2 linked regions of the Yarrowia lipolytica genome follow. The protein of the gene in region 1 purifies or fractionates together with the protein of each later gene. This does not show direct contact. Links are inferred from orthologs where the notes say so. Each region holds a gene or a part of one and is shown on either strand. Other genes may lie near its edges.

What was found. Proteins that work in one complex are often made in the same cells at the same time.
Region 2: the proteins of YALI1_C31971g (region 1) and YALI1_D32002g purify together in Saccharomyces cerevisiae (affinity purification with mass spectrometry; 3 studies listed by BioGRID, with this or other methods). This does not show direct contact. The link is inferred for Yarrowia lipolytica from reciprocal best matches to the Saccharomyces cerevisiae genes XRN1 and CDC33.

The regions. Positions count from the first base shown.
Region 1 is NC_090772.1:3,189,199-3,202,810, forward strand, and holds YALI1_C31971g (uncharacterized protein), read right to left. Parts: upstream 8,275-13,612; coding exon 8,192-8,274; intron 7,914-8,191; coding exon 3,416-7,913; downstream 1-3,415. Other genes in the region: YALI1_C31900g (uncharacterized protein), read left to right, coding at 835-1,611; YALI1_C31918g (uncharacterized protein), read right to left, coding at 1,846-2,673; YALI1_C31989g (uncharacterized protein), read left to right, coding at 9,703-11,223; YALI1_C32010g (uncharacterized protein), read left to right, coding at 11,818-12,606; YALI1_C32031g (uncharacterized protein), read right to left, coding at 13,016-13,612. UniProt on the Saccharomyces cerevisiae protein: Multifunctional protein that exhibits several independent functions at different levels of the cellular processes. 5'-3' exonuclease component of the nonsense-mediated mRNA decay (NMD) which is a highly conserved mRNA degradation pathway, an RNA surveillance system whose role is to identify and rid cells of mRNA with premature termination codons and thus prevents accumulation of potentially harmful truncated proteins.
Region 2 is NC_090773.1:3,195,266-3,203,108, forward strand, and holds YALI1_D32002g (uncharacterized protein), read right to left. Parts: upstream 4,846-7,843; coding exon 4,078-4,845; downstream 1-4,077. Other genes in the region: YALI1_D31948g (uncharacterized protein), read left to right, coding at 1-768; YALI1_D31981g (uncharacterized protein), read left to right, coding at 2,808-2,930, 3,948-4,049; YALI1_D32013g (uncharacterized protein), read left to right, coding at 5,981-7,087; YALI1_D32024g (uncharacterized protein), read left to right, coding at 7,115-7,297. UniProt on the Saccharomyces cerevisiae protein: Recognizes and binds the 7-methylguanosine (m7G)-containing mRNA cap during an early step in the initiation of protein synthesis and facilitates ribosome binding by inducing the unwinding of the mRNAs secondary structures.

The DNA.
Region 1 (13,612 bases):
GGAATGTCCATGGTGGGCGACAACAAACCACTTGTACTTGTACAATGTACCTTATACAAGTATGATGTAGCCCAGGAATGGGTATTGTCTGCTATTGATGTGTACTAGCTAATATAGGTCAAAAATTACATGACCACTCAATAAGACACTGCTACAGTTTATAATAAAAATTCTACTACAGTACATACATACTCATACAATCTACTGACCCACCTCTAAATCAACCTCCTATGGTGATTCTTGCCTTCATTCTTCAACGTGCGTGCATGACTACAGCTACGTACATACTGCAGTTTGCGACGGACACTGTCAGAGCTCTCTCTGGGGGCGGCAAAAACTCGAAAGTTAGGCGACCACGTGTATGGTGATGCAGTCATAAAAATGCCCAAATGGCTACAATCAGAAGCTGTTTGGGAATTGAAAATGCTGACCTTTACTGTTATTTAGTACCGTCGCAATATGTTTTTCACAGTGTAGCTACTCTACAGGTATCGTACAGTACATACAGTACTTGTAGTTGTAGGTGCTCACTATAGTGCTTTTCCAAGATGACAGTCATGGCATGTCTCACGCAGAGTCATACGTTGTTGTGTTACATGCAACGGGGTATTACGTAAGTGCATTCACCGTAAGTCTCTATTGATAGTTATAAGTTGTTCTATACGAGTTAGATTACTTGTAGTGACTTCCAATACTGTCCTTAGGCGGATGTCGTGGTCTCCTGATCTCTCAGGTTATGACTAATTCCTGCATGAACGCATCAACGTGCCTTAATATTCGATAAGTAAAGCCTAAGACCGCGAACCCTGCAACGCTCACCATACTCCGTACAACATGCCGTCCATTTCAGAAAAAGGGTGGACTGTGACTGCCGAGAAGCGGCCGATTCTCAATGCTGCAGAAATCGACGCGGCCGAAGCCCGTCTTGGAATCCCAGTGCCCGAAATGATCTTCGGCAACAACATCATTAAAATCGAACATGAAGCGTCAGGTTGGAGCATCAATTTCGACGCTATCAACGCCCTGGATCTCGTGGACAAGACAGGTGAGCCCACCGGACTGGTGGTGGCCCACTCCAAACATTGGCTGGCAACGCGAGAAGAGACGGCGGAGGAAGAGATTCAGATTATCAACAAACCATTCGACTGGACTTACTCGCCAAAGTACCTGGGAGACGTGCAACAGGGCAAGTGTGAGGCTGAATGGAAGCCATGCCCGGAGCCATTACCGCTGGACAAGCTGACTCTACCGGATCCCATCCTCTTCTTTGACGATATGGTGCTTTATGAAGACGAGCTGGCAGACAACGGAAGTGCGGTTCTGTCAGTCAAGATCAGAGTCATGCCCAAACGACTGCTGCTGCTCAGTCGCTTCTTTCTGAGAGTAGACGGCGTCAAGTTCCGAATCAGAGACACACGAGTGTACATTGAGTTCGAGGAGGGCCTGGTGGTCAGAGAGTACCAGACTCAGGAGGAGGACTACGACAAGGTCAAGAAGCGGGTGCGAGGAGCAATCAACGGCGACTACGGTCAGTTCCTCAGAGATATCAACTGGGTCAGCAAAAACATGCCCACTAATGAGATTGAGAGACAAAAGATGATTGTGAGTTGACCAAACGAAGAGCATGGGAATGCTGACCAACGAAAGAGCAAGTATATATGTGAATAGTTACGACGTAATGATAATGAATTGGGTGAGACGAAGCTTGTGTTACAGCTTGGTACAGTATATATAATGGCTAACTGTTGCTTGTCACCAAGACAGAAGGCTATACTATATTATTGTAGCAAAGTCACGTACAGTATCACGTATTATCTTGGCAAGTGTCATTGATATCTATATAGATTAGATCTGAGAATAAACGTAAGGACCAGGCTTCTGCTCAACCTGAACATCGACCTTGGCCTCGAGCTCCTTTCCATCAACAGAGATACCGGCGGTCATTCGATCTCCAGGGTTAACAGGACCCACTCCCTTGGGGGTTCCAGTGAGAATAATATCACCGGGCTGAAGAGTCATGATGCTGCTCATGGTGGACAGAATCTGGGGCAGCTTGAAGATCATCAGGTTGGTGTTATCGGACTGTTTAGTTTGTCCGTTGATTTCAAGGTGAAGATGCACGTTGTGAGGATCGGGGATCTGGCTCTTGGGAATGAAGTTGGAGATGGGCAGGAAGGTATCGAACCCCTTGCCAATTGACCAGGGCAGACCCTTCTTCTTCGCCTCGTCCTGCACGTTTCGAGCAGTCATGTCAACAGCCAGAGCGTAGCCATCAATGGCGTCAATGGCGTCCTGCTCAGTGAAAGTCTTGGGGTTGAGGTTCTTGAGCTCCTTGCCGAGAATTGCAGCCAGCTCTACCTCGTAGTGCACAACAGTTCCCGAGGGCACGAGCATGGGACCCTCGTTGGGGAGCAGGATGGAAGACGAGGGCTTGAGGAAGAAGAAGGGCTTGGAGGGAGCCGTGTTATTGAGCTCCTTGATGTGCTCGACGTAGTTTCGGCCAATGCACAGGATTTTTCGGGCCTGCTGGGCAAATCGGGTAGCCATGCTGTTAGTGTGGTTGGTGATGAACAAGTCGGAATGACTGATCCGTCCGACCTGAAATGTTAAGTTTGGGAGTCTGGGGTGCAGAGCGGCTGATGACAGTGAACAAACCGCCGGAGTTCCGAACATCGCTTCTTGTTTGCTGGCGAGTCACGTGATTCCAAATCCACAATTGACAGGGCCTTGTATTTTTTTGTTAGATTGTGTCTTGAAGAGATGAGAATGTGGTTAGTTGCGTACATGCCACACACGATACAACTTCTCCGAGTTGGTCCATAAAGGTTTCAGTTTTCACTAATTACTGTACATCCTGTGTACTTAGTAATGAGAAATCTTTAGTATGGACATAACAGCGTTGAGTTCGGAGGTGCCATTATGATCTAGATTACTATGTAAGTGACAATAAAATCAATACAGTCTTCAGACGAATCATGAGATTACAATGATAGGCAAAAGTGTATCACTTGTAAGACAAATAATACCTGCTACACATGTTGGTTTGCTCCAGGGTGGTGCAGTACGCGATAATGAACCATATACTGTACTAAAAGCTGCTGTAATTGAGCTGCGAGAATAGAAAGAAATGCTCAAAAAATATGAAAAACAATAACAAAAAAAAACAAAAACAAAACAACAAACAGTACCGCCGCGACTAGGTACACGATATCAAAAAATTATCATCACTTGCCACATACAATACAAGTGCAAGTAGTACCAGTATGTACTCGTAATTACTGGAGGGCCACATTCACAACAAAACTCAAATACTGTATCACTGGTACATCTACGCAACAAAATTATCAATCAATATATCCAATTTCCATTATTATACAACCATTCATGCCAAGTTTAGACACGTCAGTCCGTTCTACTAAGGCCGGGGAGTCACCTGGGGAATCCGAGGGTTGTTGGCATCCTGCTGTCCGCCCTGACCTTGTCCACCTCGACCACGTCCTCCACGTCCACGTCCTCCACGTCCTCGACCCCGTCCTCCTCGTCCTCGGCCTCCTTCATTGGCAAGTCCGGTGGCAGGCTGCTGAGAGTTATCAGAAACCTGCAGGGCAGCCATCAACTGTGCAGAGAGGTCTTCATTGCCCTGAGGAGTTCCCTGAGGAGCGCCCTGCTGGTGCTGCTGGTTCTGAGGGCCAGGTCCCTGAGGATAACCCTGACCAGGGTAGAAAGGCTGGGGAGGGTAATATCCGGGAGGGAAGTGTCCTTGAGGGAGGTAGCCCTGGGGGGGAAATCCCTGGGTAGGGAATCCGGGAGGGGGAGGGGGTACAAATCCACCCTGGGGGCCTCCGTAGTGCATAGGAGGGCCCTGCTGCTGGTGCTGAGAAGGTCCCTGGGGCTGAGGGTTGGAGTACTGGTTCAGCACGTTGCCCAGGACCTGCTTCTTGGCGTCAGCAGAAGTCTTGGACTTGAGAGAGTCCAAAAGAGCCTCGCTCTGTTTCTTCAGCTCCTCCTCGGTCTTGGGAGCGGGAGCAGGAGGGACAGTAGCAGACTCTGATACAGCAGCGGTAGCAGCAGCCACAGCAGTGGGGACCTCACCTAAAGTAGAGGTCTCAGCAACAGGAGCAGCGTCTCTGGGTCGCTGAAGAATCTTGACACCAGGAGAGGGCTGCTTGGGCTTGGGCACTGCAGAAGCGGCAGGAGAACCCTGTCGGCCGTTGTTTCGGCCCCGGGCGTTGTTGGTCTTGCCGTTGGTCTGCTGGCCATTAGCCTTGCCACCTCGGTTGCCGCCCTTGGGTCGGTACATCATCTGCCGGTTGGTCAGGTTGATGACGGTGTTGGCAGCGACGTTGAGACCTCGGTTGGTGGAAGCTCGGCCCTGGAAGTTGTTGCCACCGACAAACTCGTCATCAAACAGCACATCCAGCCGAACATCCACGCCAACGGCCTTGATACCGATCACGGTACCCTGAGAAAAGATGGCAGCCTTTCCAGAGTCCTGGACATACACAACCCGGTCCCCCAGATCGAATCGCTGGCCACGAAGCTGGTGGAAGGCCTCATCAGGTCGAAGAACAGCCTGACGAGGAGTACCCTTCACAACGGAGGGGATAAACCGCACAGCATCAGGGTCAGCAGCGTTCTTGACGAGATAGTTCTCAAGAACAGAGATGGACTTGACCGATAGAGACTGAGTGTCAATATCCACAGAAGTCAGTCGGGAGGCGTTCTCCTTGAGCCATCGCCGAGCAGATTCAAGCATCTTGTTGACCTCAGCAGGTTCGCCTTTGACCAGAGCAGAAATGTCAGGCACGCCCTTGTCTCGGTTGGAACCAATACCCTCGACCAGCTTGGGGAAGGTGTTGTAGTAGCTCTTGACCAGAGCAATGGCATCCTGGGTGTACTCCCAGCCCTGCTGAGTTCGCCGGGTGTAGCCAAGCACCTTTTCTCGCTTGCCCTCATTTCGCAGGTTGAGACCTACGTCAATCTTAGAGTCTCCCTTCTGAATCAGACACTTGGAGCAGATTCGACCGAGGAGAGACGACTGGATACCGGCCATCTTGGCGGCCTGATACGAGGGGTAGTACTTGGTGGTAGCGTACTCTGTTCGAGCAATCTTTTTACCCACATCCGCAAGCACAACAGCGGGAGAGTTGGGTGCAGACTTCTTGACCTGGAGATCCATCTTGGTGTTGCCAATGTGGTTGACAACCTGGGCCTCAGCACCATAGCAGAAGTCGGACATGAGAATGACACGCGACTCGAGAGGGAACTCGGCAGCGATAGGCTGAGCAGCTCGCTCCTTGTACCGCTCATCCTCGTTGACCACCTTCTCAACAATAGTCTGAACAGGGAAAGAACCAGTGGCTCCAGTAAAGTCCTTGACAAGAGATCCATCGTCTCCCTTCTTCATACCAGCCAGGAAACGGACATGAAGAACGACAAAGATGTTACCGCTCTTGATACCCTGCTTCTTGATGTAGTCGTTCTTGATCTTTCGGGATCCGGTGGCCCACTCCTTGGCCATGGTGTCGGAATGGGGAGATTTGTTGACCTTGCCGTTCTCAAAGGTGTAAGAGAACAGCTCGTCTGAAACAGCAATCACCTTGGCCTCTCGCAGGTAAGGATAGTTGACGTAGATGGACTGGTCCATCAACTCTCGAGCAATGGATTCGGGAGATCGGTTCTTGTAGGAGTTGATGATGTTGAGCACCAGAGTGTTGTTTCGCGAATCCTGCTGGAAGATTCGAACACCAGCAGCCTCAATGTCGTAGGTGTAAGGAAGGGTCTTGAGAGAGGGGAATCCGGACAACATGTCCTTGCCCCACTTGGAGCCATCCTTCTTGCCGATGACCACGTCCAAACCGTCCATGGAAGGCAAGTCAAATTTCTCAACCACACAATGACAGTGCTCCAAGTTCTGGAAGACACCGGGCATAGAAGACGGGTAGACATAATCCTGCTGGGGCGAGTATTTGAATAACAAGTTGTTGCCAAATGCGTTTCGCTTGTTCTCTCCAGCAGTAAGACCAGTCTCCTTCGTAGCCATAGCTGTCAGAAGACGCGACTCGTCCACAAATGGGATCTTGACCACTGCCTCCCAATCGGCCTTCTTTCCGTTCTTGTCCAGCTCAAAGTCGTTAGGGTAGAAGTCATAGATGGGCGAGTTGGAGTCGGCCATCAGGGGCCAGTAAGCTTGAGGAAGGAGCTTCTTGGATCTCTCAGGCAGCACACCCATGAGCTGCTGGAAGGGCTTGAAGGGCTGGCCAGCCTTGAACTTGAGATTGGCCTGCAGACCCTTACGCACATCAGAAACTCGAGGAGCATAGTGGTAGCCATAGTACCAAGACCACGAGGGTACGCCGTCGTAGTAGTAGTGCAGAATCCACTGCAGACCCTCGACGTAGTTTTCGGTCAGAGCCTTGAGCTCGGCTTTGCCCTCGTCGGTGGTAGTCGACCAACCAAACTTCTTTTTATAGTAGTCGTCCTTCCACTCCTCAAACTTCTGATTGTAAATCTCCTCTCGCTGGGCCAGCGCCTCGGCGGTCTTGACAGGAGCAGCCTCGTACCGCTTGAGGGTCTGGGAGTAGCCAATGAAGCGCTGGGTGGCTTCTTCAGGACTCTCCTCGTCTCGGAGGCCATCGTAATCGACGATTAGCATACAAGATGTGGAAGAGTTCTTGAGAAATCGGCAATCGAGGTCCAGAGAGATCTCTTTGACGAGAGATTCACACTCTTCGGAGAGAGTATCAAATACGATCTCGGGCAAATTATCAGGATCGTAGTCCGACTTGGACTTGTTTTTAAGATGGGCATCAACAAAGGGGCGCAGTTTCTGCACAACCAGCTCCTTCTGTTGGGGTGAGAGATAGAGCTTCTCGCCACGCTTGGACTTGTATTTTTGAGTCAACTCCGGAAGATCCTTGTTGATCCAGGCCAGATCAATGGCCTGCTCCTCGAAAATACCAATTTCAAACTTTTCCATCTCAGCCAGGAAGAGATCCAGGCGCTGCAAGTTGATGTTTCCTCGGTCATTGATGTAGCCGTCGGAAATCTTCATTACCTTTTTGTACAACTCTACAAAAAGAGCATGGGAGTCCTCATTGATGTGAATCTGAGGCAAGTTGGGCAAGAAATCGTTTCCGACGAAGAAGAAGAGCAGGATGTAGTCATCCAGAATTCTCTCAAAGTCATAGGGAAACGAAATCTCGTCAGCAAGGTCCTGGAATTCCAGCTCAAGGTACTCTCGCAACAGAGAAATGTGCAGAAGATAAAAGTTCTGCTCCTCCAGAGCCTTGGGACCGGCTCGTCGGGGACCGAAGACAACCTCTTCTCGCAGAAGAGAGAAGTGGGGGTCGTGGGAACCCAGACCCAGCATGATGAGATCGGCATCCAGACCGTACACACAATGACGGGTGTTGGGGTCGTAGTCAGGCTGGGCCTTGTTGATTCGGATGCACTCGTTGATCTTGTGCTCTCCTTCTCCTGGAACCTCGTGACCAGAAAGAACAATGTCAATGTTCTGCCAGTCAGCGTCCTCACTGACCTTTTTGTGCACAAAGTAGTTGAGTTGGGTGGTCAGTTTCTCCATGAACTCGGTTCCGGGAGTAATAGCGTTGGAGTCGAATTGGTCCTCCTTCAGGATGGTGCCCTCCTCCAGAGCCTTGGCCTTGGCCTTTTCGGCGTCGAGGGCAGTTCGGAATCGTCGCGATCGCTGCTGGTTCATCTTGGCTCTCGGTGCGACTCCGTCAATGGCCATAAAGAAGAGTTTCTTGGGCCGAATTTTGGAAAATAGATGCTCAATGTACTCGAAGATGGCGCGGAACATTTGTTCTTCCGTCAGCTGGAACGTCACATCTGCGTCCTTGTGTGTGCACACGTGCAGAATCGAGTTCATATCGAGGTACAGATTGTCATATCTGGGTTAGCACGGAAATGTTGTGATGTGGCTGTGGTGGTAACAGTTTTGTGTGTTATTGTGGGTTTGATCTGGCCTGAATCATGTATCGAAACAACATAGAACATTCGACAAGGGCTTTCAAACGATCCTCCAGTCACAAGGCTCTTGTTATACGTTCCTTCAGGTCGTCTAGTGTCGTGGTTTTGGTCATCAGTATGCTGACCGATCAGACACCCCACAATCACCAAACGGTCGTGTTGCCATCTCCAAAAACACCCTCACTGCTCTCATACTCACTCAGGAATCTGTGTATCAATCACTTGTTGGGAAATCAGCGGCCATCGCTCACTGATGTAGCGGAAAAATTTAGGAATACCCATTGATGGTGTATCTGCTGTTGAAAATCAAATCTTGTGATGTGGTGGGATGTAGGGACAAGACACTTAACTTTAAGGGAAACCAAACGACGATAGAATGCGCATAGTGGCGACTATTGGTGGCGGTAGACAGAGAGAAAGGAAGCCTTTGGAAGCGCAGGTATGACTTATTCCGATAGCCGGATGAGATGAAGTGCATCAGATGAACGACTCCCGGCTTATTGGAACCATATGGAACGCCGTGGATGGCTCGATACTACCTTACCCGGCAGTGATGGATGCCTGTCACGTGTCCTACAGCACAACTGCAACATACTGTATCTATATGGTTTGTAGGCTGCTTCAGAAACGTGCCCTACCCATACGGAGGATATGAATCTTTACAGGGACTTGCCTAACCTGGAACTGAGTTATTTCGGGCGAAAAATAGCCGTACACAAGGTTGCATGAAAGGGTTCATCTCGTATGTATGTATTGTAGATACATTGTACGATGCAGTTATTGTTAGTCAGAACGTTACGAGGATTAGCTGTGGAGTTTAGCTGTGGAATTTGACAAAATGTAATGTAGACACTGCATTAACTAACTTGACTGAGAAGTCAGAGTACGTACAGTACTGTAAGTAGAAATGGCTAGGAGAAGGTGACACGCCCTGTACCACCCACAGAACGAAAGCACACATCTATTTCAGACGACATTTGCCACTATTTTGTCTTTTTTCGATCGCGTTGCCCCTTTTTTGAATTTCGATGAGGTTTCCTGGAAGATGCAGGTCTGACAGTGGAGGGAAAGAGTTTCCGTACTGTGCCGAATGTTCACTGTAGTACCTACTGTATTTCCACAAAGTATGGGACTGAGATGGTTCATAGAAAAAAGTAGAGTATCAGTGTATTTAGTTAGTTTCAGCAAACAAAATTATGGAAAAATCACGCTTATAGGGCTATTATTACGAGAGTTGGATAGATGTCATGCTTTCCGCCGTATTATCACGCGAAAGTTTATCGATCTTGGTTCGACTCACATACGGACAATCATACAGAAAATGCAGCAACCAGAGAGAACTCACGGCAATTGGGAGTGAAGCTGGTGACAGAATAGCTCCCCATTTTCCATCAAAACAGTGAATCACAATGGAATGTTCTAGAGCAACCTAAACGCCGGGTATTTCACACGTCGATTACCGCCAGAATAACGAAGAAGGATACGGGAAAAAAAATACTGTAGGATGAACACTGTACTGTAGTCTTTCCTGGTGCTCCCTCCCAACCAAGCTTCAAATTTGAAATTTCAGAGAGATTGACAAGACTGACCCTGAGTTCGACTCCACGACTTCATGAATTTCAAGATAAGGCGTTTAATCGAAATATGTAATTGATGATAGAAAGGAGGCAGTATTGATTTTTTTTAAAGCAGTACTCATCTAAGTAATCTATGGCCTCCGTTACCTGCTGCTCTGTTGTAGTGTTTACACCATCCATCCGCTTACATCCTCAGCCTTGTTGGCTTAATAAGCAAAATTATCAACAGCATGCAGCAAAACAAACCAAACTTTTAGAGACGCCATCACCACACAGATACATCATGTTCGGCAGCACTGGATTCGGACAGAAGCCCGGAGGCTTTGGCGCCGCCAATACCGGCACGACCGGTAACACTGGTGGCGGGTTTTCGTTCGGCCAGAATAACAATTCCAACTCCACTAACACCAACACTGGCGGAGGATTCGGGTTTGGCCAGAACAACACCAATCAGACCAGCAACACGGGCGGTAACACTGGAGGAGGCTTTTCGTTTGGCCAAAACAACAATGCTGGAGCCTCTAACACCGGAAACACCGGAGGAGGACTTTTTGGAGCCAAGCCTGCTGCCACCACTGGAGGAGGGCTGTTTGGTCAGAACACAAACACTGCCGGTACTACTGGTACTACAGGCACATCTGGAGGTTTCTCTTTCGGCCAGAACAACAACAACACCACTTCGAACACAAGCACAACCGGAGGCGGTCTCTTTGGAGCTAAGCCTGCTGCCCCCTCAGGTGGGGGGCTGTTTGGACAGAACACATCCAATACTGCCAACACCGGAACCACAGGCACCACCGGTGGACTTTTCGGCCAGAACAACAACGCCGCTTCTACTAACACGGGCGGCGGACTGTTTGGTGCAAAACCCGCCACCACTACTACTTCAGGAGGTGGTCTTTTCGGTGCTAAGCCTGCTACTACCGGTACCGGCTTTGGAGGAGGATTTGGACAGAACACAAACACAAACACAAATACTGGAGGACTTGGATTTGGTCAGCAACAGCAACAGCAGCAGCAACAACAGCAACAACAGCAGCAATTGACCGTCACTCCTCTGACCAGACCGTCGGATCTACCGGAACATATGCAGAAGGAGTTTGAACAGATCGACGAATACATTCAGCAGCAGGCCCGAATATGCGATGAGCTGTCCACGAACAAGCTGCAGCATCAGGAGATGATCGAGTCGATCCCCCGAGATGCTGAGCTCATCTCCAGAAAGTACATCACTGCTTACGAGGCTCTGGTGCACGACTCCGAAAACATGAACGAGATCAAGACTCGATCAGACATTGCCGCACAAGAGGCGCAGACGTGTTTCAACCTGCTCAGCTACCTGACCAGTCAGACTCCTGGCCGTCTCAACTCCAACCGACCCGCTGGAGCTCCCAGAGAGAACGGCGATCCTCTGCTCAACTACTTTAAGACAAAGTGTGAGGAGTACGAGAAGCGAATTGAGGAGCTGGCAAAGGTGACGGCCGAGGTGGAGGCTGGTGTTGTGGGACTGGAACAAAGCGGACCTCAGAACCCTTCTGTGGTCATTGACAACTTTACCATTTCGCTGGAGGAGCTATACAAGCTGTTCATGGGTCTTGGAAACCGGGTGGCCGAGTTGCATCATGTTGTCGAGCGGCTTGAGCAGCGGAAGTAACTTTGGAGGTGTAGCTACATGATATGTATATTGAAGGAATACTTGTAATTGTAGTTGATTTGGTGTAACGAGTATTTACTACAAGTATAAACGTTGTAGACAATAATAAGGCTACAAGCAGATGAAGACAAGCAAAGTATCACCCCTTAAGGCGAGAGGCTTTTGGTATGGTCAAGCGACTTTATGGAAGTATTGATTCGAGAACACCCCTGTACATACTGTAAAGCTGTAGCTGCCGCATGTAACATATTGCTCAACTGTTCTAACTAACGTTAAGTAAAGTGACAAACTCAAAGTAAGCAAGAATAGCATTATATTTCTTTATATCTGAGAACTCCGGTAACTTGTTAGATAAGTAATAACAACCAGATCACTTTCATAAATTTTTTGGCGTACGTTTCATATTTCTACCGTATCTGGGACACTATTTGCGCCCTCAGTCAACTTTTCCCTAACTAACTCCCAACTAATTCTCTTTCTGCAGCTTAGTCACGTCACTATAATAAAGTTTCGAGTGCATGGGTTTACGTACGTACAGTACGTTGACCATGATGAACATACAGCGATCACAACTACAACGACATACACACAGCCATGAGTCTAGTGCAATCTGCTGAACGAGCAGAGTATCTGAATCTCAACACGGAGCAGCTGAAGCAATTGCATGAGCAGTCCACGCGGTTTCTGGCCGGCCGACACTACAACCTGTCTGATGACGACCGATATGCCCTCTTTGAACAGCACTTTTATCTCGCTCTGCTGGTCGGTGACTCCAGAGAGGCCGAAATAACATACCAGAAGCTGGCCGACCGGTTCGGCGAAGACACGGGCCGAATCGGCAAGCTCAAGTCGATGCTGATTGACAGACAATTGGGCCCCAAGGATGCTCTGATGTACCTCCAGGGACGTCCCGAAAGCGATCTGCCGTGCTGGAAGGCCCGAATCGCTCTTCTCAGAGACACAGGAGTGGCTGATCTGTACATTTCCGAGCTGGTCAAGTACCTGGAGGTGGTGCCTACCGATCCAGAGGCGTGGTCTGAGCTCGCCGAGGCCTATGCTGCCTGTGAGAAGTGGGGAGACGCCATTTCGGCCGTGGAGGAGGTGCTTCTGTGTGCTCCTCTCGCATACAATATGTTTGCGCGCCTGGGAGAGCTGTATCTTGCAGCAGGGGATGCTGGAGAGGCAATTTCGCACTTTTGCCGAGCGGTGGAACTGTGTCCTGTCTACATTCGGGCATGGTGTGGTATTCTTGTGGCCATCAGCAAGCACAAGAAGGGCAACGACAAGCTCAAGGCTGTAGCCACTAAGCAGCTGGAGAAGCTGATTAAGGAGAAGAAGGGCAGCGAGGGAGATATTGCTGCCGCCAAGCTCATTTTGGCGTAAACGATTAGATTAATGAATTTATTGGATTGACGTGAGGGCGGCTGTTCCTGGGTGAAGGACTTCCTGCTGGCAGCTGCGGTATTGCCTAGCCACAGTATTATATCCACAGCAAAGTACAGTCCAGTAGATGATGTATTCACAGGTATCACACACGAGTGGATCTTCACACAAGTGCACCTGGCCTACAGACAGCATAAAGATGTTCCCCCAACATATATAAATGCACATATACAAATACAATGAGGATCAGCATGTCAAATTATATTAGTATTCACTTAATCATTTCGTATACATTCATTATCTGTCATGTAGCAGTTGTCTGTGTATACACCCCCTTCTGTTCTGTGTATTATGCATCCATTTTTATATCGTCAATCGTATCGTCGTCATCGTCGTCAATATCCCTCCTCTAATTCGAGTAGTACTCCACAGGAGCAGTAAACTGTCTGAGGGTCACTCCAGCATCATGCAACACCTTACTGCTCTGAGCATCCATATTGTAGCTCTTGCTGTAAATGACCTCCTTGATTCCAGCCTGGACAATCTTGATGGAACAAGTCAAACAAGGACATGTGTTGCAATACAGCTTGGAGGTGTCCCTGATCCGTTCTCTTCCTGCCTCCAAGAGAGCATTTTCTTCGGCATGCAAACACAGACAAGTCGAAAGCGCTGCCCCGGCCTCTCCAGAGTTACATCGAGCACATCCTCCTTCGTTACAGTTGACAGCTCCTCGAGGAGTACCATTGTAACCCGTACAAATGACTCTCGAGTCCCGCACAATGACACACCCCACTTGTCTCTTCATGCAGTTGGATCTCTCAGCGGCAAGATCAGCCAGACGCATAAAGTAGGCGTCCCAGGATGGTCTTACACGCGAGGTTTCCATGAGATCCATCTGTCGCAAATGCGCTCTGAGCTCGGTGGAATTGACGCCGTTCTTGTTGACCAGGTGAACCTTGGCACTATTGGCAACGAGGGTGAGCTCATTCGAATACTTGCGTGTCTC
Region 2 (7,843 bases), on another chromosome or scaffold:
GAGTCAACCTCCGAGCCCCGCGCTCTTGTTCGAACCCGAGGATCCTCCCAGGGTCGTGCTGTTGCTCGTCCCATTGGCAAAACTCGGTTCTCACAACGTCACTCGCCTTCCTCGTCCTCTTTGCAGCTCACACGGACCTGCATCACCTCCGAGGCGGCCTTCCACCACCGGTTTCTGGAGTGCGAAGAGCGGCTGCATACTCTGGCCGAAGCGTATCTTCACTCCAAGCGTCAGGACGTACCTTGGACCAACGACGCGTTGATGGACCACGCGTTGTTCGACTGGGCGTTTGTGTCCCGCAAGAGCGGGCTCCCGAGAGCTGCAGCTATTAGCAGCCTGTGTACGGCAAACGCTCTCTCCACCACCAAGCGTCCAGTGCGCTGGACACCCTGCGACGACAGACTCATTATGTATCTCAAGGAGATTGAAGGCCTCACGTGGAAGGAGTCTGCGCTTATGATACGGTACCGGCACAGCTGGCAGGCCGTACAGATGCGATATCTGCGGACCCTATGTCGGTTGACGGGCAAGTGGACCAAGCAGGAGACCGACAAGCTGAAGAGCGTTGTGGCCCGTGACTGGGCAGGGAGGTGGAGGCGCATTGCCACCGAGATGGGCCCGCAGTTCCCCGCGGAGAGGGTCTACCGGCAGATGATGGGGCTGGCCGGGATGGAGGTGGATCTGGAGAGATTGGACGGGGTGGAGGGGGAGGAGCAGGGGCCCAGTGCCCTCGGTTGGGAGGAACTGGTGCAGCTCTACAATCGGTAGACCCTGAGTCTCTGGTCTAATTACGTCAAGGGTTCGTCCGGAACTACCTGTGCTCACGCGGAAATGTATCATAGCTAGAATTTGTTAGATTTGAATAGATGGTTAGATGGCGTAGGTGTGTACCACTGTAATGTAGGGCTGTGACTCGGGGGAGAAACGAGTGCTTTGGAGATGGGTTGAAGTCAGAATGAGTCGGACTTCATCCAGGACAGAACAGGGTCAGACAACCGAGTCACATCAAGTGGAGTCGATGTTTGAGAAGAGGGTGTGACTGTCTGAACACACCGTTGTACCATCGATGCAGCTCTCTGAGAAAAGTGTCGGCAATAGTTTAAACTGCGGCGGTAGTAAGGCCCGACAACCGACCGGACGCAGCCAAGCAGACTCTTACCGTACCGTTGACAGGTCAAGACACATCTCAGAGCAAGATTACAAGTACAGTATGTATAGGACATATGGTACCTACAGTACATACTGCAGTCTCAACAACGGAAGCAGAAGAAAGAGCCTGGAGACTCCGAAATTCTAGCACAGGGTGTAACTGGCCAGAGACCCCTGAATCCTCAAAGGGATGGGTACAGGCTCGAGGGCGAACTTCACTCTTCGTTTCGACAAGTCGCTCTGTCCAGGTTCCATTCACCATGGAGATGATCTAGGAATTGCGTGGATTCTCGTCGGTGAGAAGAGAAGAGTTGACTCAATATCGGAGAAGATATTCAGTCAAAGTCTCATAATCTGCTTTGGCTCTTCATCGCACGCCCCACCCAACGACTGCTCACTTCCATAATTGACACTGTGAGTTGGGGACCGTACGGAGCCCGCGGCATGGGATTGTGTTTCCGTGTGTGTGACTAAATGCGCATCCAAAGCGCTATGTGGCATATATGAAGTAGTCCGACAATGCACGCCGAATGAGGTCGAAGCCGTGGACTCGGTGGTATCCATCGAATGAGGGAGTTCCGAGACGGACGAGTAGCAGTCAGTACATACAGTAGGGGAAGGGAATACTGTGTGGGTGGATGTATTGAAGAGTGGCATCGTGGTTATTGTGACAGTTGTGATACAGCAGTCATGTGACATCCAAGAATCACTTTGTGTATCAATACCGTCTGTCTGGTTCTAATCCCGAGTCTGTTTGACTGATCACCACTGAACTAGGTGAAGGTCGCGATTTATCCTTAGCTTGTCCTGACAGCCTTATCCTGAGACAGTTGATGAAGTGAGCGGTAATCAATCTGCTGAAGAACAGTGTCTGTGTAATGTGATCTGTCGGAGATTTGTGTTAGCAGCTGGGAGAGGAGAGCTGGGAGAGGGGTGGTTGTGTCAATGACGGACTGTTTCAGCCCCCAAAAAAAATGTGTTTTTGCGTCACTCTTTGTGTCACTCTTTGTGTCACTCCTGTGTCATTCGTATTGTTTTGTTGCGACAGGGGCTACCGGACGCAACAAGTGATGAGTAAGAAGAAGAGAGCAGAAATGGGCACTCTAGAGAAAATAATCAGAGTTTTTACAGTCCAATCTGACCGGTCAAAGGTCATAGTACAGTGCATTTGACCAGTCACATCTAGTACAGTATGCACTGTACTATTGACATTTGCGACCATTTCCAAACCGCTCCAAATTGACCAATTTTGATGTCATCGACGTGGGATTTTGTTCATCCTACTTATTGATTCCTTTATAGCAATATTTTCAATACAACCAAATTCCAATCTCTGTTCCAGCAGCAGAAAATTCACCTTTAATTTCCACCATTACTCCATCTGGAATTGACGCTCTTGGACCCCAAAAATCGAATATAGACAAACAGAGTCGATTTCAGTATTCCTATGATCCCATTATATCTTCTTTTCAACTCGCAAAGTCCACTGATTGACGCATTATCGAGTTATGGCAAAACCATCTGCAGCACATACGGACTATGTCCAACTTTTAAAGACGCATTTATATACCGCTGCAGAAATGCTAGATTTATGGGGACTTTACCATTGGGTTTCTTGGACTCGAAATATTCTATTTCATTTGTTTCCATATCGTCAGATGTCCTGGAACAAATTCTGGAGCAGTTTCTTTGATCCTAAACCTGCTTTCAAAAAAACACATTTCTCAGCCAAAAACCAGACATTTAGAGACCAGCACTTTGATTTCTTTTCCTTTTATCCCGTTAAAACACTCTCCAATTCAAGTTATCAACTCATGGCCTTTCTGACAGATTCAAGCGCCGGTATTAAAACACCCCATACCAGAGAACAAAAAAAAATTCAGAAAACACGGCACAAAAACTAATTGAAATATATATGATGTCCCAAAAGACGATTTCCTGACCCCCCCCCAAATTCACTGCTATCACGTGAACTTTTTCCAGTCCCTACCAATATTACCCATCTCCCACCCATCTCTCAGTCAACTATCTGATTATTACTAGACTCTTGTATAGACGTTCCAGAGACACGTGACCAGTAATAATATCCACAATACATACCCTATATACACCTCAGCTTAGAACAACATCCTCTAATCCTTTTACCACTGCTTCATTACGCTCTGTGTTTCCCAGGACTTCTATGTTTGCTTGCCACTATTTAGTTAGACTTTAGTTGACAAAATTTTCACTGGATGTCCCTACACGGCCCTCCAGATCTTCTGAAGAAACATATAATATATCCTACTGTAGCTACAGACCCCAGAATTCACTTGGTTTAAACATAATCCACCCTCGTGAATTCATATACACGATATCGAACATTCTCCAAAAAAAAACAAAAAAAATTACTTGGATTTTGTTGAGAGAAATACATAACATCAAACCAACACTACTCTGCGAATACAAGTCGGAATTGAAGAATTGAACCCCATTCGTTTCGTCATGATTCATTTCCCTCGTTCAAACTGTCTCTATCTGGTCTCCTTTGACTAAAGGAGACGTTATCTTTGACCTTTTTTCTCATGAGAAACTTCAACTAATTTTTTCCACAATAGTTGGATCGTATCCCCAACGCTCTAATCGGCAGGTCACGTTACGTGCTACAACTAACACACTTTTCTACTCCACACTTTTCTACTCCACACTTTTCTACTCCACACTTTTCTACTCCACACTTTTCTACTCCACACTTTTCTACTCCACACTTTTCTACAGCTGCTTTCACTCTCGCATAACTCGCAATCATTCGCATTCAGATCGCTCTTGCTTGTGATGTTAAGGATGCTCGTGATGCTGCTCTCTCGCGGCCTTCGTTGGCCATACATTACTATAATGCAGCCCGCCTCTCAATAACTTAGGTCTCACCTTTTTCATCTCTCACTCCAGCTAAACCGCCAGTCTGGTCTTGCCCTGCGACTTGACGTTCTTGGAGGCCGACTCCTCATGGGACTGGAACTGGACCTCCTCCTTCTCGGGCAGACGCAGCACCTGCTTGATCTTGACGCCCATCTGGCGCAGCTCGTCGGTCACCTCGGAGGTCTTGGTCCAGACGTTGAACCGCACACCGGCCTTTCGGATGTTGACAAAAATGCCGTTCACGTTGGAGGCCGAGCCGTCCACGTTGTTGTACTTGCCCTCGTGCTTGGCAATCTCCTCGTCGGTCTCGAGGCTCTCGCCAATCACAGACAGCACCGTGTGGAGCCAAATCTCGTCAAACTCGTTGGCAGACTTGGGCTTGAACTGGTAGAACCACTTGCCGCCGGCCTTGTTGGAGTCACACTCCCACTCGGGCCGGATGCCCTTTCTGAAAAATGCATAGTCCGACCGGATGGGTAGCTCCACCAGCTTGGGGATGTTGTTGTACACCGCCCAGAAGCCCTCAACGGTGTCGAACGACACCACCTCCTTGATCAGATCGTGCCAGGCAACCGCGGGGGAAGGGGGCTTGATGTACCACAGAGTCCAGGGGGTGGTCAGCTTGTGGACGGTGGCAAACTCAGTCTTGGAGTCGAACACGGTGCTGAAGGGCTCCGCGGGGGTCACCTCCTCCTCGACTGTCTCGGTCACCTCGGCAGGCTCGGAAGCAACGGGGGCCTCCTCCTTGATGTTGAGGTTGGCGACAGCTTCAGTCACGTTGTCAGTAGTAGCGGCCATTCTGGGTTAGTACGGAATCGGCAGTTGTGAGCGAGAAGCTGGTTTATGGCGATGTAAGATACGTGATACGTCTAAGTCTATGCTGAACAACATAGGCACTGGAGGAATCACAGACTGGGACAATTGCAAGGCGATATCTGTAGAAATCACTGAGACATCCGTCTGGATTGCCATTGTAGACATGGTGATTGTGCCCTTGATGGAGACAGATTTTCGACCGACAGACGAGCAGACAGGTCGATATTTAGTAGTCATGGCCATAAGGACAGCTCATTGATGGCACACTTGCACAGAACGAGAGGGAGGAGATGGACATCAGCAGAACTGCAGCAACAGTAACAGCAAACATGTGTAGACGGTAGACTTAGACTGAAGACAGAGACAGGCACCGCAGGGAAGCGAAACGTGTCGAAGAGACATATACTGCTCACCTTACACACCATCGATGAGTGCACGCGACATGCCACATCCGCAGTGTCGTCCCACCACTTTAGTAGTGTCGTCCCACCACATCAACAGCGTCTTCCCCATCACATCAACAGTCTCGTCACCACATCCACAACATCGTCGCCACATTCACAGTATCATCAACGCCACCATCGAAATCACATCGCCGAGTCCTCCCCCTATCTCTTCTCTACCATCTCCAACCCCTCATGTCTGAGTGTGCTACCACTTTTTCCTGTCTGTGCGACTGTGTATCCATCTGTGTAACACCGCCAAATCGGGGCCGATCCGGGCAAAAAAAACGCCACATGGCATCGCGCGCACCACGTGATCGCTTGTCACGTGACTTCACCCCCTTGCGACATACTCACTTTCCAATCAAGTACTGTTGTGCGATCAAGACAGAGCTCGTTTGTGGTGGATGAATTGTGCAAGAGGAATTTTGGGTCCTGCAGTGCCGGGTAACCCCCCTGCTGAACTGAAAGTGTCACCTAACCTCCTTTTAGCGTTTGTCTGGATTTGGCAGTGTGGGTAGGGACGGGTCCTAACCCTGCCATCGATTGGGAGGGGACCCTAACCCAGCCTCTTCCTGTCTTTTCTCATTGGAAGTAAGAAATGGGAACTTCACCTAACCCTGATTCCCAATTGGAAAGTTTCCAAAATTAGACACCCCTAGCCCCGTTCGCACATGAAAGATGCACTCCAACGCACTTTGTGTAACTTGGCATCTCCATCATCACCTCCACACATCACCCAACGGCGGACTTTTGACCCAATTGGCAAGCTGTCGACCCCCAAACCCCGCCATCGACTCTCTGCTGTGTCACGTGACCGCACATCTCGTCTTCTGCGCCCCCTGATGACCTCTTCCATCCAGCGGTACGCCTTTTATCTGTTTGGGCTGGGTGCCGCCATCACGGCGTTTGTGGCTGCTGGGCTGTACATTTTCCAGTCCAAGCTCATCTATCCGTCAAATTTCCCCGCCGGGTCTCGAACACACGTGGACACGCCCGATTCTCAGGGCATGCCGTCATACAAAGATGTGACGATTGAGACTGCCGACGGCGAGAAGATCAAGGCGTTTGTGGTTCTGCACGACGAGTCGGAGCCCAACTATGTGCCCAAGACGGTTCTTCTCCTGTGTCCCAATGCCGGGAACATGGGGCATGCTCTGCCCATTGTGCGGCTGTTCTACCAACAGATGGGCTACAATGCGGTGATTTTTTCGTACCGAGGATATGGCTTGAGTACAGGCACGGCCAGCGAAGTGGGCATCAAGACGGACGCCCGGGCGCTGTACAACTATCTGCAGACCCATCCGCAAATCAAAAACACCTCTCTGGTGCTGTATGGGCGCTCTCTGGGCGGCGCAGTGGCCATTTACATGGCGTCGCAGTTTGGCGGCTCCGAGGGCTCCATCATCAAGGGTCTGATTCTTGAAAACACCTTTCTGAGCATCCCCAAGCTCATTGGGTACGTGCTTCCGTTCGCGGCGCCTTTTGCCCGACTCTGCCACCAGAAATGGGAGTCGGAGAAACTGATGCCCCTCATCAACCCGCAAATCCCCACAATGTTCCTGTCGGGGCTCCGAGACGAAATAGTGCCGCCTCCACACATGAAGGGACTCATTGGCATGTGTCCGGCCGACGTCAAGGTCGTCGAGTACTTTGCTAACGGAACCCACAATGATACCATTGTCCAACCCGAGTACTGGGAGAAGCTCGTTATGTTTATCCGAAAATATGTGGTCCCGATTGAGTCTCACGAAAAGGAGAAGGAAGAGCATCTGCACTAACGTTGACCAATATATCTTCTATTAACTATGGAATTCCAGTTAAAAATCGATGATGGAATAGAAGAAAGATACCAAAAAAAGACAAGAGATTCAAAGTGGCCTAGAATAGAGACAGTCTGGGAGATCCCACCTTTTTTGTGGTCATGTGGTCATGTGACTCATCGACTCACTGACTCACCAAGACGGTGCAGTGTTGAATTATGTTTTTACGTAAGTAATTTTTGCAGAAAAGTCATGATGACATCATATTGACAGTTGTAGACTGGGAAAAAAACTGCTCAGATTTCGGTCTAGAATTGGAATTCGGATGGTTCCATATTTCTTATTGTCACGTGACCCATATTGAGGTAGTTGTCACTTTTTGATAAAAAAAATAATAAAAAAAAAACAAATTCAACTTTTTCAACTGAAAATGCACCCGATCTGGCCCCAGAGTTGACTGTTGTAAATCCCTGAACAAGGGCTACGCAATGGTACCGATTTTTAGTCACGTGATTCATATTGGGGAGGTTGTTGCTGTTTCTCTGACTGAAAATAAATTCAACTTTTTGCGCTCAAAAATGGTCAGATCGGATGTCAGAGTTCATTGTTTGAAAGCCAAGGTCTGGTGCTACGGGTCGGTATATTTTTTATTGTCACGTGGCCTATATTCAGCTAGTTTAATGCATGTATTTCCAGGTACGGAGGACTCTGCTAGACCAAGTAGAGTAGGTTGTATAGTATTTCAAAGTTGATCATCACGATTGTCAAATCCAG